3 linked regions of the Rattus norvegicus genome follow. The protein of the gene in region 2 interacts with the protein of the main gene of each other region in a pairwise test. Links are inferred from orthologs where the notes say so. Each region holds a gene or a part of one and is shown on either strand. Other genes may lie near its edges.

Region 1 (4,204 bases), on a different chromosome or scaffold from region 2:
TCTTAAAATCAGGAAAATCTAGGATCTGATTTCTGTACCCAGGCATTTTCTATATTAATGAGTGTTCAGTCTTTACCCTATGGTGTGCAGAAGGGGCTTTGGTGTCATTTCTGACCTCCAGGAAAGTAAGAAACCCCAGGTCAGCCTTAAGGACAGTGTGTGTGTGTGTGTGTGTGTGTGTGTGTGTGTGTGTGTGTGTGTGTGTGTGTGGCCCAGCCTTCGGATGCCTCTCAGTTTCACTGAGAGACACGGGCACATTCCCAAAGCACAGTTGTGGGTATATCCAGGAGGTGCTTTGGAGAGCACCACCCGTGTGAACAAGGGCACTGGGTGAGGAAGACACGAGGTGAATAAGGCTGCACCATCCACAGGCAGGGGACGAGAAGCCAGGAAGAGGGAAGTCCTTAACTGCAGGTGACCTGGACAACTCAGCCTCAGCCACAAAGGCCTCCCAGGCTCCATCTTCAGTCAGCAGCAGCTTCAGGTCGTCCCTGCCCGACGTGTGCTGCAGATACTCAGTGGCTTCCTCAATGAAGGTTCTGCTTGCTGGGTGGAGAGGAGAGGAGGTAGAAGGACAAATGGAGGAGCTTGAGTAACGCTAAGCATTGAGCCGGCTTCCCAGGCTGCCCTAGTCCCACCCGAGGAGGTGGGATTAGGAAGGAGGTGAGTCCCGCTGTACTCCCCAAGGACAGGGCCAGACACAGACCTCCCCTGTGGAGAGCTGGTGTTGGGAGAACACCTATAATGCCCCCTTGGGTCACCCCTGTGCTGTCCTCAATTTCTCTACACTCGGTATGGAGGTCCAGGCCACTGCAAGAAGAAGCCAGGGGAATATAAATAACTACCTGGAGAGTCCTCGCCATCTGAAGGGTCCATGGTGTCAAATGCAGGATCTCTGCCCCAAGCTGCAAGGAGGAGAAAACAAACTGCAACAGAGGGGGATCAGCTACAGAGAAGGCAAACACCTAAGCCCTGTAGCCCACTGTTCCCTCCACAGTGTCTGCCGTGGACCAGACATTACCCAAAGTGTTTCTCTTCCCTGTCGTCTGCAGACACCTGCTTGTCATCTAACTGTCCATCCCAAATCTGCCATTCCAGCCCAGGCAAAGGCACCTGTCCCATTGGGATCAGCTGATGATGCAGCTGTGGGAAGTAACTAACTTTGTATACAGAAGGCAAGAAGAGGGGGAATGCTCTGGCAGCCCTCTGAGGGTAGGAACACATGGGAACTAATGATAAGAACTGGTGTTTACAAGGCTAGCTAACACCCCCAGTCTGCATACCAGTGTTAGAGCCAGCATGTGAGCCCAAGCCGTTCTGAGGCGTGACCCCCTTGACTAAGCCTGGGTCCCTTAAACACTCCAGCAGGATATATCCTCCTGTTCCCGTGCAGTGTGCTGCTGATGCTTCCCATCAACAGCCACGCCTGTGCCCTCCAGGGGACAAGTTCACACTCCTTGCTTCTGCAGGATCCTGCATCTAACCAGGGCCTAGAAGCCTGCCACTCCCTGTCTCTGTTTTTGTACTTGCTCTGGGCTGCCCATCTACCATCCCTAACCATTGAACCTCAGGTCATAGCCATCCTTTATGTAAGTCACAGCACTAAGAACATTCTCCTTTAATAGAACTTTGCATTTCAGGTTACTTCCTCAAGAGGTCTGGTAAAATGGCACAGTAGGTGAGGGTGCTTGTGGCTAAGGCTGATGAGCAGAGTTCAATCCCAGACCCTTATAGTGGAAAGACAGAGTTCACTCTCACAAGTTGTCCTCTGGCTTACACACACATACACAAACACACACACACACACACACACACACACACACACACACACACACACACACACTTGAAAAATAAGTCTAGGCTGGTGTGGTGGCACATGCCTTTAATCCCAGCACTCTGGAAGCAGAGGCAAGTGGATCTCTAAATTTAAAGCCAGTCTGGTCAACATAACAAATTGGGGACCAGCCAGGGCTACACAGTAAGACTCTATTTCTAAAAACAAAAACAAAACAAATAAAAAAAGAGAAAAAGAAAGAAAGAAAAAATATTTTAAAAAATAAAAAGAAACTAGCTTACTTCCTAAGCAGAAAGCTAAAAGTAGTTCCATCCCACTGGTATGGTGGGTGTGGGCAATCAGTAAGAATTGTTTCTGGGGCTGGAGAGATGGCTCAGTGGTTAAGAGCACTGACTGCTCTTCCAGAGGTCCTGAGTTCAAATCCCAGCAACCACATGGTGGCTCACAACCATCTGTAATGGGATCCGATGCCCTCTTCTGGTGTATCTGAAGACAGCTACAGTGTACTTACATATAATAAATAAATCTTTAAAGAATTGGTTCTGGGGGTTGGGGATTTAGCTCAGCGGTAGAGCGCTTGCCTAGCAAGCGCAAGGCCCTGGGTTTGGTCCCCAGCTCCGAAAAAAAAAAAAGAAAAAAAAAAAAAGAATTGGTTCTGATGGTATTTTTCAGGCATAAAAAGGCCTGACAGAAACAGAGAGAGGCCTGCAAATGTCCCCCAAGTCACCAGATGAGATGAAGTGGCCTTTTCAAGTGCCTGTCCCTTTCCGACCTTCACTGCCATTTCCAATCCTGCCCAGCTCTGCATGCACACTTGGTACACCGAGGCACTCCATTACAGGGTTAACTACCACAGGGTTAACTTAACCAAGACTTGTCTGGCTCTCCCCACCTCTCTGGAGCTCTGGGAAGGCACCTACCAGCCGCCAGGACCAAGAACCCCAGTTCCTGCAAGAGCAACAAGGAGGAGAGTTTCTCAATGTCTTCTCAGAAGGTTCATCAATATTCTGTCCTTTCATAAGCAGATAAAATCTTCTTGCTCTGTTATTCTTGTCTTAGTGGTGACTACTCACTCCCCACCCCCAGGCAGAGAAGTTCATATGCAAAGAAAGCCCCCAGTCTCAATTCTTTGGCCCCTCAGTAAAGCCTTGCACTGACCTGGTCCCGTGCTGCTGTAGCCGGGTGCTAATATGGGCACAGTGGACCTCTTAACGCGGCTGTGACTCGGTTTATAGAAAGGCTGTTCCAGGAAGGACTACCCCGCCCTGCTTCTGGCCAGCTGTGCAGCCCTGATAGGAACCCTCTTCTTCCCAGCTGGAGCTCCAGCAATCAAGCAAAGCCCGACCCACCCCTTCTCAGGGCATCCTCAGGGTAGGGAGGGAGGAAGTGAAGACAGCTTGCTCCTTCTAAGGGGTCCCTGATGACCTTTCAGGGTCATGTTGAAGCCCCTCTAGCCAGAACTCCAGGCCTCAAGCCTGCTGCAGCCCCTCTGTCCTCCCTCCTTCCCTCCCAACCATCCAATTCTATCATACACCTTCAAGTGCATCCTGCCCCACTGACTGTGACACCTCCACGTCTTTGCTGTGACTGACCCTCTAGTGAGACTTTTCACACTCCACAGTGAGACACTTCTATTCTTCCTGACCCTTCATCTCCCCACAGTGGCTGTGGCACCTTCCTCCCACTGTAGAGACGCCAACCCCATCCCACAGGTGGGCAGTGGCCTTTGGGGTGTCAGCAGCACAAACGATGTGTCCATCAGTTGAAAACACAGGTTCTGGGGGTTGGGGATTTAGCTCAGTGGTAGAGCACTTGCCTAGCAAGCGCAAGGACCTGGGTTCGGTCCCGAGCTCCCAAAAAAAGAAAAAGAAAAAAGAAAGAAAGAAAGAAAGAAAGAAAGAAAGAAAGAAAGAAAGGAAGGAAGGAAGGAAGGAAGGAAGGAAGGAAGGAAGAAAGAAAGAAAGAAAGAAAGAAAGAAAGAAAGAAAGAAAGAAAGAAAGAAGGAAGAAGAAAGAAAGAAAGAAAACACAGGTTCCTGGTGGGCAGAGTGGAGATCAGTGCTGCCCCATTTACTCCGAGACTGAAGTACTAAGTGTGACCTTTAAAAGACACATTGGTGGCACAAACCTAGAACCCCAGCACTCAGGAAGCTTGGATGAAAAGGTTTAGAGCCAGACTGGACTATGTAGGGGAACTGGGATTTCTAGAGAGACACTGTCTCAAAAATAAAATAAAATAAAATAAAAATTAAAATAAAAAAAGGCTGTGAGTTAGTCTGCACCTCTGTGCACTCAGTCTCTCAAACCCATGGTCTACCCAGTGATCTTAGGATTACAGAGCTGGTATGGCTCTAGGGATAATGTTTGGCAATGTGTCCCTCTTAGTCCCCACACCTTATGTCCTTGCCTA
Region 2 (4,237 bases):
TCAATACCTCAGGGCTGGGGAAAGAGCTCAGCATGGTTAGGTACTTGCTGCTATCTCAGAGGACCCTGGTTCAGTTCCCAGCACACACACTTGGTGACTCACAACTGCCCATAAGTCCAGATTTAGGGGATCCAATGCCCTGCACTATCACCTGGTACATATAAATGCATGTAGATAAACATACATAAACATAAATATTAAATCTTCAAGACAAAAGCCTACCATGAGATGCTAACAGGCTGAGGCAGGAGTCTAGGAGTTCCCAGTCAGCCAGGGCAGCATAAAGAGACTATCTCAAAACAAAATCATTGAGCATTTTGTTTTTGTTACCACAGCTATCTTAAGCCATCTAGAGCCAGTGGGTTACAGCAGAAAGCAAATAAGGGTTTGCTGAATCTCTACAGCCTTGGCCTGGAGGGGTGGAGTCAGCGAACCGTGCAAGTTTTATTGACCCACACTGGGATTAGCACAGGGAAGCTTTTTGAGTTAAAAACCCAGGGTACCTTGAAGTCCAGAACTGGGTTCCACTATTGATCAGTTTGAGCTTGAAAAAAATTAAAATTAATCCCCACTCTTTTAAAAACGATTTATAGAATATATTTACATATTTGTGAGTGTGGCTATGGGCATACTATGGCACTCATATGGAGGTCAGAGGTCATTTTGCAAGAATCAGTTTTCTTCCACCATAAAGGTCCGGGGTATAGAACTCAAAATCGGCAGCAAGTGCCTTCATCTGCTGAGCCAACTCACCAGCCAGTTAATACCCACTTCCCCCTGCAGAGATTCTCATGCCTTAACCCCATTGGAAGCACCTCAGAGTCACTTTTGGATTTTCTGATGAGGGAACCAATTATTTACTTGGAACGGATTCCTTTTTTTTTTTTTTTTCTTTTTTCTTTTTTTCTTATGTAGTTTTTCGAGACAGGGTTTCTTTGTGTAACAGCCCTGGATGTCTTGGAAACTCTTTGTAACCCAGGCTGAACTCGAACTCACAGACTTGCATTTGAGTGCTGAGATTAAAGCTGTGTGCCCAACCCGGTTTGGAGCCAATTCTAATCAATGCTGTGACCCTACGTCAGGGTCATATTGGAAGCGCTGTCCAAAGAGATCCAAAGGTCCGAGGAGAAGCGCTTACCACAGGTGCTGTCACTCCGCACTCAAGCACCGCCCTCTGTGCTCCCGGCCCACCCCCTTTGGAGCACCGCCCAATCTGCGCCAGGGGGCGTGACAATGTTCGCAGGCTTGATAGCCTTTGAGAAGGCAAGTGAGGGGTGGAGCCCCACTTACGCACTGCTACGCCTGCGCAAGACAGCGAGGGGCGTGACCCCGACTTCGGGCCGGAAGCGGGAGGCTGGAGGGGCGGGCCGGCTGGTGTCCCCTTTCCGGCCGGTCCCCATGGAGGCGCTGGGGAAGCTGAAGCAGTTCGATGCCTACCCTAAGACTCTGGAGGACTTCCGGGTCAAGACCTGCGGGGGCGCCACGGGTAGGTCTCGGCACGGGCAGGGTTGCAAGGAGGGAGCTGTCCTCGCTTTTGGCCCGGGCTCCCGGACTCTCCCTGGCCTGTTAGGGGCTGAGGGGTGGGATGCAGGCCATGCCAAATCTCGCTCTCGCTCCGCAGTGACCATCGTGAGTGGCCTTCTCATGCTCCTGCTGTTCCTGTCTGAGTTGCAGTATTATCTCACCACCGAGGTGAGGGGCGTGGCCTGGAACGTGGGCGGGGCTTGACGTTCTAAGGGTAGGACCCTTAAAGGTGGGAGAGGGGAGGAGAGGAGTAGGGCTAATCTGACTGAGGTAGTCACGCTCTAGGTGCATCCTGAGCTCTACGTGGACAAGTCTCGGGGGGATAAACTGAAGATCAACATCGATGTTCTTTTCCCACACATGCCTTGTGCCTGTGAGTACCTGATTGTGAGTGGGAGTTGAACCCCTGGATGTACACCTCTGGCCTTAGATCCTGTAGTAGTTGCTAGGTCATCCTCATTCCCCAATCCAGTTCTTCCTCGAGATACATCTTTCCCATCACAGCTCTGCTCTCCAGGGCCCTGGAGTCATAGTTAGCTTACCTCTGTTAACAGACTTGAGCATCGATGCCATGGATGTGGCCGGGGAGCAGCAGCTGGATGTGGAGCACAACCTGTTCAAGAAACGACTGGACAAGGATGGCATCCCCGTGAGCTCAGAGGCTGAACGGCATGGTAACCAAGGGAGGAGGGGACAGGCCTCCAACCCTAGAGCTGGACATTCTTGCCCTGCCTTCCAGAAGCGGGCTGTTGCAGGCCCAGTGACACATCAGACAGAAGTCAGGTGGCTTGCCTAGGGTTCTACAGCTTGACTAAAAGTCAAGAGTCAGTTGAATCCATGCTTCATGGAGTAGAAGACCTTAGGGGCTGGAGAGGTGGCTCAGTGGGTAAGAGCAAAATGCTTTACTTGGTTACATTTCTCAAGCTTGAGCATGGGTCTTCCTTAGGAAAAAGCTGTTAGGTGTTCACTTGCTCAACTCATTGGCTAGAGCACTTTTCCCCACTGCAGTGCAGAAGAGTTTAAGTTCTCAAGGAGAATTGCCTGGGTTCGGATCTGGCATTGTTGGCGGTTTAAGAGCATTAGCTATAAACTGGTGGTAAGCAGTAGCAACCCATGCGTAAGCTGAAGGGTTGGATGCAGGGCAGACAGATGTCAGCTCACGGTGCTTTGACTTTGCGATGGTTTGAAAGCATGCCCGGCCCACCGTCCAGGTCTTCGCTTTCAGTAGAGGTATCAGTAGATTATTAGAGATCCCCAGTCCTTCGTTAGGAAAGAGTCACAGCAGATGGCCCTGCCCAGCGGTCTCTCGGCTAAGTATCCCGAGCACATTTAAGGCAGTGTACATTAAGCTCTAATGTTCCGTATCTTAGGTGTATTAAGTGCGTTCTAAAGTATCAGAACATGATATTTTACCAACAGTAGCCTCATCCCGAGTTGAGGATCAGTAATACATGGTCAGTGACATAACCCATATGTAACCTTTATAAAAGACCTGGTATGGAGTGCTACTCACTTGCGATTCCTATCCCATAGTTGCAGTCTGTTACCCTCAGCCCATCTCACTACGTGGCTCTGGCTGACCTAGAACCCACTCTGTAGACCAGGCATGGGACTCACAAATCCTCCTACCTCTGTCTCTCCAGTGCTGGGACGGAGGGCGTGTGCCACGACTCCAGCTCAGACCCAGTTTCAGGGTCTTCTGGGGATGAGATCAGACAACTTGGAGTTACCTGTACCAGCTGATACTTAGTATTTACGCTGTTTTCTAATTAATACTGAGTCTATGTGAAGGGCTTAACATCTGACTGTCATAGTTGTACAGATATTAGCTTCGGTTTTTCCCAGGGACTCATGTGGGAGGGAGGGAGCTGTGGCTGTGGATGTCCCTGTGTCTGCTTCATGATGAACTTTTGCCTCTGCCCTGCCCTTAGAGCTTGGGAAAGTCGAGGTGACAGTGTTTGACCCAGACTCCCTGGACCCCAATCGCTGTGAGAGCTGCTATGGTGCGGAATCAGAAGATATCAAGTGAGCCATGCCCTCGGGCACAAAGCGGGGTTTCACCAGGCTCTGTGGTTAGCCAGCCTCAGCCTTGTCCAGACTGTTGCATGGGGAGTTAGACCTGAGAGTTTTATCATTAATGATCCCGATGCAAGCAATGACAGTAAGCGGGCCCACTGACAGCTGCATCCCTGTGGGTAAGGTGGAATGGCTCTTGCTCTTCTGTCTAGAGAGTCATCCAGTCCTGTCTTCAGTCCGAGTCACATCACTTATCTATGTATTAATAAAGGATGATAATGACACCCTTCTTGCCAAAGTCACATAAGGATCAAGTGTATGTTGCATGTAAAGCCCTGACGTACAAGGCCAAAGCGACATTAGTAAGCCTCCAGTTTGTGCTAACCACTGTGTGATTTCCCAGCCCCAGCCTCAGCCCTTGAGAGACTGATGCAACAGGTCTAGAGAGATCTACTCTTAGAAAGAAGAGGGAGAAATTATAATAATGCTACACGTAGCGTAAAATTCGCCATTATATGTGCTTTTATGTGTACAGTTAATTGGCATTAAGGACATATACTACCTTCTGCAGTGGGCAGAATAGGTTCGGTGTTACTCCCCAGGGCACTGTGGCTGGGCTCTCAGCCCTTCGTGCCTTCCCGACAGGTGCTGTAACAGTTGTGAAGATGTGCGGGAAGCGTATCGCCGCCGAGGCTGG
Region 3 (4,372 bases), on a different chromosome or scaffold from region 2:
TTCTTTAAATTGCTCTTATTTTATGTGTAAAGGTGTTTCCCCTGCATGTGTGACTGCGCACCACATGTGTGACAGGTGTCCTCAGAGGCCAGAACATGGCATCGGATCCCTTGGAGCTAGGGTTACAGGCTGTAATGAGCTGACATGGGGGGGGGGGGCTGGCAATTAAATCTCAGACCTCTGGGGGAGCATCCAGGGCTCTTAACTGCTGAGCCATTTCTGCAGTCTCACATTTTCGTCTTTGATTAAGCACATAAAACAGTATCGTATAATATATCCCTCTGTGAGCATTTTGTGAGATTCAGAGCACCGTGTATCCTTTATAGATCTTTAGACTTTCTGATTGCACCTTCTGCACAATTCTTTAAAAACAACCTCATTTTAACCTTGAAGTTGTCTGGAGGCTGGGATGGGCCAGTGAGATTAAGGGAAGGACTTCTCAGTTCCCAGTTCTGCAAGGAAAGCTGCAGTATCCTCAGCATCTCTTATTCAAAAACTCCATCTTCCTCGAATGTTAGAGGACCATCCAGTAAGGCTGGCATCAGAAATCTAAGAGAAAGTATGTGTTCTCAGGCTGGACAACCTCTGTTTGTTTCCCTTGTAGCAGCTTGCTCTCCAACTCTCTCCCAAACTCACTGTGGAACTCTTCGGGACACCTGTGTAGTTGTCTGTATTTTATTCTCGTACAGAAGGAATGGTCTCTGCTTGGGTACCACTTTGGAAGCTGGCTCAAATCTCCTCCTTTGCCTCTTCTGCCTCGATTGGTTCAAAGCTTGGCCTGGCTGCTGCTGTCACCTTTTATTTGGGGCTGGAGTCCATCCCAACAGCTTTAATGGCTTGTCCATCCACACACCATTGAGACTTTTAGCTCACAGAAACGCCGGCAGCAATTTTAGCGCTGAAAAAAATCTCCATCCCCTAATGTATGGAGATCAGAGGACAAATTGAGGAGTTGGTTCTTTCCACACTGTTAGTCCTAGGGACGGAACTCTATAATCATTAGGTTTGACATCACGTGACTTAAGTCATCTCATTGGCCCCTAGCTTATCATTTTTAAGTGTATAACTCGGTGACATAGAATGTACTACCTGCTCTGTCTGAAAACAATCAGAACTTTGGGGTGGTTGGTGTGCTTTTAATTTCGGGTGAGCAGCACTCACCAAGGTGGCAAACACTCCTCCTGGCTTGTTCATGTCATCTCCTGCACTTAGCACTCAAGCACTCACGAATGCTTTCCACATGATGGAATGACGGAACTCCTGTTGCAGCCCTCCAGATCCAAGAGACATCGTTCCCCAACCGGGCTGGGGTGTCATCGGAAGTCGGACGCCGGTGACCCGGTAGGAGGCGCCCCACCGGCCCTGTCACTACTTTCGGTTTGTCCGGGCCCGGCACCTCTGAGAAGGCGCGCCCCCCTCCCTCTTGGACCGCCGGTCCGCCCCGCCCCGCCGCTTCCTCTGCGGCCGCGGGCACTGAGGCAGCGCGAGGCAGAGGAGCCGGAGCCCGCGATCAGGCAGCGGCGGCAGCTGCGGAGGCGATGGTGAGATGGGAAGGGGCAGAGGGCGATTGTGCAGGGGCATAAAGCCAGAGCCGAACTCCAGGGGCGTGGGTCACGCTGACCACAAGAATCAGTCCCCAACTTTGCAGGCAGCCTGGGAGGGAGACTCCAGAGTGCGCCCCGTCGGGGCGGAGTGAGCGGAGCTGCAGCTTCTCACGCTCCTGAAGCAGTTATCAGCTCCGACAATACCGGGCAAGTCACTTAACCTCCACCAGTCTCCTTTTCCGCGCAGTGAAGTAGGGGCAGCAATACCTACCTTGGTGGGTCCTTGAGAGGTTAAAGTAGATGTTTATGGTCGCTGCTGCCAGGCACTCAGAACCCTTTGCTGAGAAGTGGTAGGTAATGTGATGACCTCTCCAGCAATTCCCCAGGCTAAGAGGAGCCAGAACTGGCCCAAGGGTTGGAAACCTGAGCACATGCCTGGTAGAGGCCCGGTGCTGAAGGATAAACACTTGCCCCGGGGAAAGAAAAAATAAGTTGTTTACTATAAAAGTTCCATGAAGTTATTAGAGGGACACAGGCTGACTTCTTCCTGACCTCTGCCTAGTAACATAATCATGAGTTGAGTCACCTACACTCTTGCTGCAGACTTGTCATTTCCAAAAGTGTCAGGGACCACTGGTGCCTGGATCCCACCTTCCAGGGCGCCTGGGAAGACGCCAGACTGGGAGCAAGTTTAGTACTGAATGGATGTGACCTGGCTAGAGGTGGCAATGCCTGGATGGCCTCATCTCTGGGGAACTGGAGGCAGGAAAGGGAAGTGTGGCAGGAAGGTAGCCCTGAGCTTTGAGGCCACACCAGGAAACTGAGGGAAGCTCTGAGAATGGCTGGAGCTGAGAGCCCACTTCCGAGAGTGCCGGGCAAGATGGGAGGAGGTACGGGATGGTCCATCAGCTGGCTTTAAGCTCTAGGGGAGAAGTTCTGGAAAGAAGGCTGAGCCAGGTTACGTTTATCTGGCTGTTCAGGAGACCCTTGGGATGTCTATAGGTACACTCCAGGCAAAGGGGGTTCAGAGCCTGGGGGGTGCATGCTTTATTCCTTCAGCCTGTCTCCGGCTCTATCATCTATCTTTTCTCCCCACCCCCGTCCCCTTTTCTGTCTCCAGCTCTTTCTTCCGTCATCCCACCCCTCTGACTACCATCTATACCCACCCCCACCCCCAATTTCCCTTCCCTTCCCTTCCCTTCTCTTCCCTGGGACTCATTCAGTCAAAAGGACTTTTTAAAATTAATATCCAGGGTTTTTTTTTTTTTTTTTTTTTTGTGCCCCTGGAGTAGGACAAAGCAGTGACGGGGGGATGGAAATCAGCAATCATCTTTTTTTGCAAATACTGTGGGCATGCTTGTTCACATGTATGGGCACATATGTGTTTAGGTATGTATGGGCACACATGTGTTTAGGTATGTGTAGGCACATACATGTGTAGGTATGTATGGAAGTCAGAGGTTGCTGTCAGGTGTCTTATTTAGCTGTTCTCCACTTTATTTTTGGAGATGGTTTCTGGTTCAACCTGGAGCTCACCAGTTTGTCTAGTCTAACTAGCTGACTTGTCCCCGGGATCAGCCCCCCCCCATTTCTGCCCCTGAGCCCCAGGCTTACAAGCAGACTGCCTGGCTTTCATGTGGCTGCTAGGGATTCAGACTCTGGTCCCCAAAAGCTTTAAAAGATTTTATTCATGTGTATGAATGTGTTTTCCCTGCATGTCCGTGTGTGTGTCCTGTGCCGGCAGTGCCTGTGGAGGCCAGAAGAGGGTGTTGGGTCACCTCCTACTGGAATTTCGGGTGGCTGTGAGCTACCAAGTGGGTGCTAGGAACCAAGATCTTCTAGAAAAGCAGCAAGTGGGGCTGGAGAGATGGCTCAGTGGTTAAGAGCACCGACTGCTCTTCCTGAGGTCCTGAGTTCAAATCCCAGCAACCACATGGTGGCTCACAACCATCTGTAATGAGATCTGATGCCCTCTTCTGGTGTGTCTGAAGGCAGCTACAGTGTACTCATACAATAAAATAAAATCTTAAAAAAAAAAAAAAAGAAAAGAAAAGCAGCAAGTGCTCTTAAATGCTAAGCCATCTCTCTAGCCCCACCGTAAATAACTAAAAAGTATTTAGCTTGCTTGTTTGCTTTTGGGGGGACATGGTCTCATGTAGATCAGATTGATGTGGAACTCGCTATGTAGCTGAGCCGCCATGTCTGAATGGAATTAACTTTTTTTTTTTTTTGAGGTAGTCTTGCTGTATAACCTGCCTTGAAGTTGCAGCAATGCTCCTGCCTCTGCCTTCCAGGTGCTAGTATTTGACACCATGTTCAGAAATAGAATAATATTTTTTTAGACAAGGTCCCGCTAGATACTCTATAGACCTGACTGGCCTCGAACTCTACCTACTGAGTACTGGGATTAAATAGGTCCATGACTACACTCAGCCTAAAATGGTTCTTGGAGTCATTCGTCTGGCAGAACTTGTGCATTTAGTCCCAGGCCTCTCTCCTTTGAACACAAGCTTAGTTGGCAGCATCAAGGGGCTAGTACTCCTTAGCCAATCATCAGGGGCATCAGACCTCACGCTTTCTGTGCGTCTGGTTTAGCACAGGGGTTAGACATGTGACCCTTGGTATCTCTGTCCATTCTACCCTCAGGTTGCCTACTTACCCTGGGCAACTTAACGCCCCTGGGCTGTTATGCAAGGACAATGATAATACTTTCTTCAGTGGGTTATTATGAAGGTTTAGCCAGACACCCACATGCACTGCCAGCTCAGTGCTGGCTCAGGTCCTGTGCCCACTGAAAGGTAGCTGTTACTGTTGTCCAACACTTAAGG

What was found.
Region 1: the proteins of Ergic3 (region 2) and Apol2 interact in binary tests that used the Homo sapiens proteins (3 or more experiments, as listed by UniProt). The link is inferred for Rattus norvegicus from reciprocal best matches to the Homo sapiens genes ERGIC3 and APOL2.
Region 3: the proteins of Ergic3 (region 2) and Vamp5 interact in binary tests that used the Homo sapiens proteins (3 or more experiments, as listed by UniProt). The link is inferred for Rattus norvegicus from reciprocal best matches to the Homo sapiens genes ERGIC3 and VAMP5.

Annotation. Positions count from the first base shown.
Region 1 is NC_086025.1:111,216,149-111,220,352, forward strand, and holds the start of Apol2 (apolipoprotein L2), read right to left. Parts: upstream 2,948-4,204; 5' UTR 2,815-2,947; coding exon 2,688-2,814; exon of another isoform or gene 2,632-2,687; coding exon of another isoform or gene 2,568-2,631; intron 927-2,567; coding exon 846-926; intron 547-845; coding exon 420-546; intron 1-419.
Region 2 is NC_086021.1:164,983,819-164,988,055, forward strand, and holds the start of Ergic3 (endoplasmic reticulum-Golgi intermediate compartment protein 3), read left to right. Parts: upstream 1-1,352; 5' UTR 1,353-1,398; coding exon 1,399-1,486; intron 1,487-1,621; coding exon 1,622-1,692; intron 1,693-1,809; coding exon 1,810-1,897; intron 1,898-2,078; coding exon 2,079-2,198; intron 2,199-3,455; coding exon 3,456-3,549; intron 3,550-4,185; coding exon 4,186-4,237. UniProt on the Homo sapiens protein: Possible role in transport between endoplasmic reticulum and Golgi. Positively regulates trafficking of the secretory proteins SERPINA1/alpha1-antitrypsin and HP/haptoglobin.
Region 3 is NC_086022.1:105,990,301-105,994,672, reverse strand, and holds the start of Vamp5 (vesicle-associated membrane protein 5), read left to right. Parts: upstream 1-1,425; 5' UTR 1,426-1,538; coding exon 1,539-1,541; intron 1,542-4,372. UniProt on the Homo sapiens protein: May participate in trafficking events that are associated with myogenesis, such as myoblast fusion and/or GLUT4 trafficking.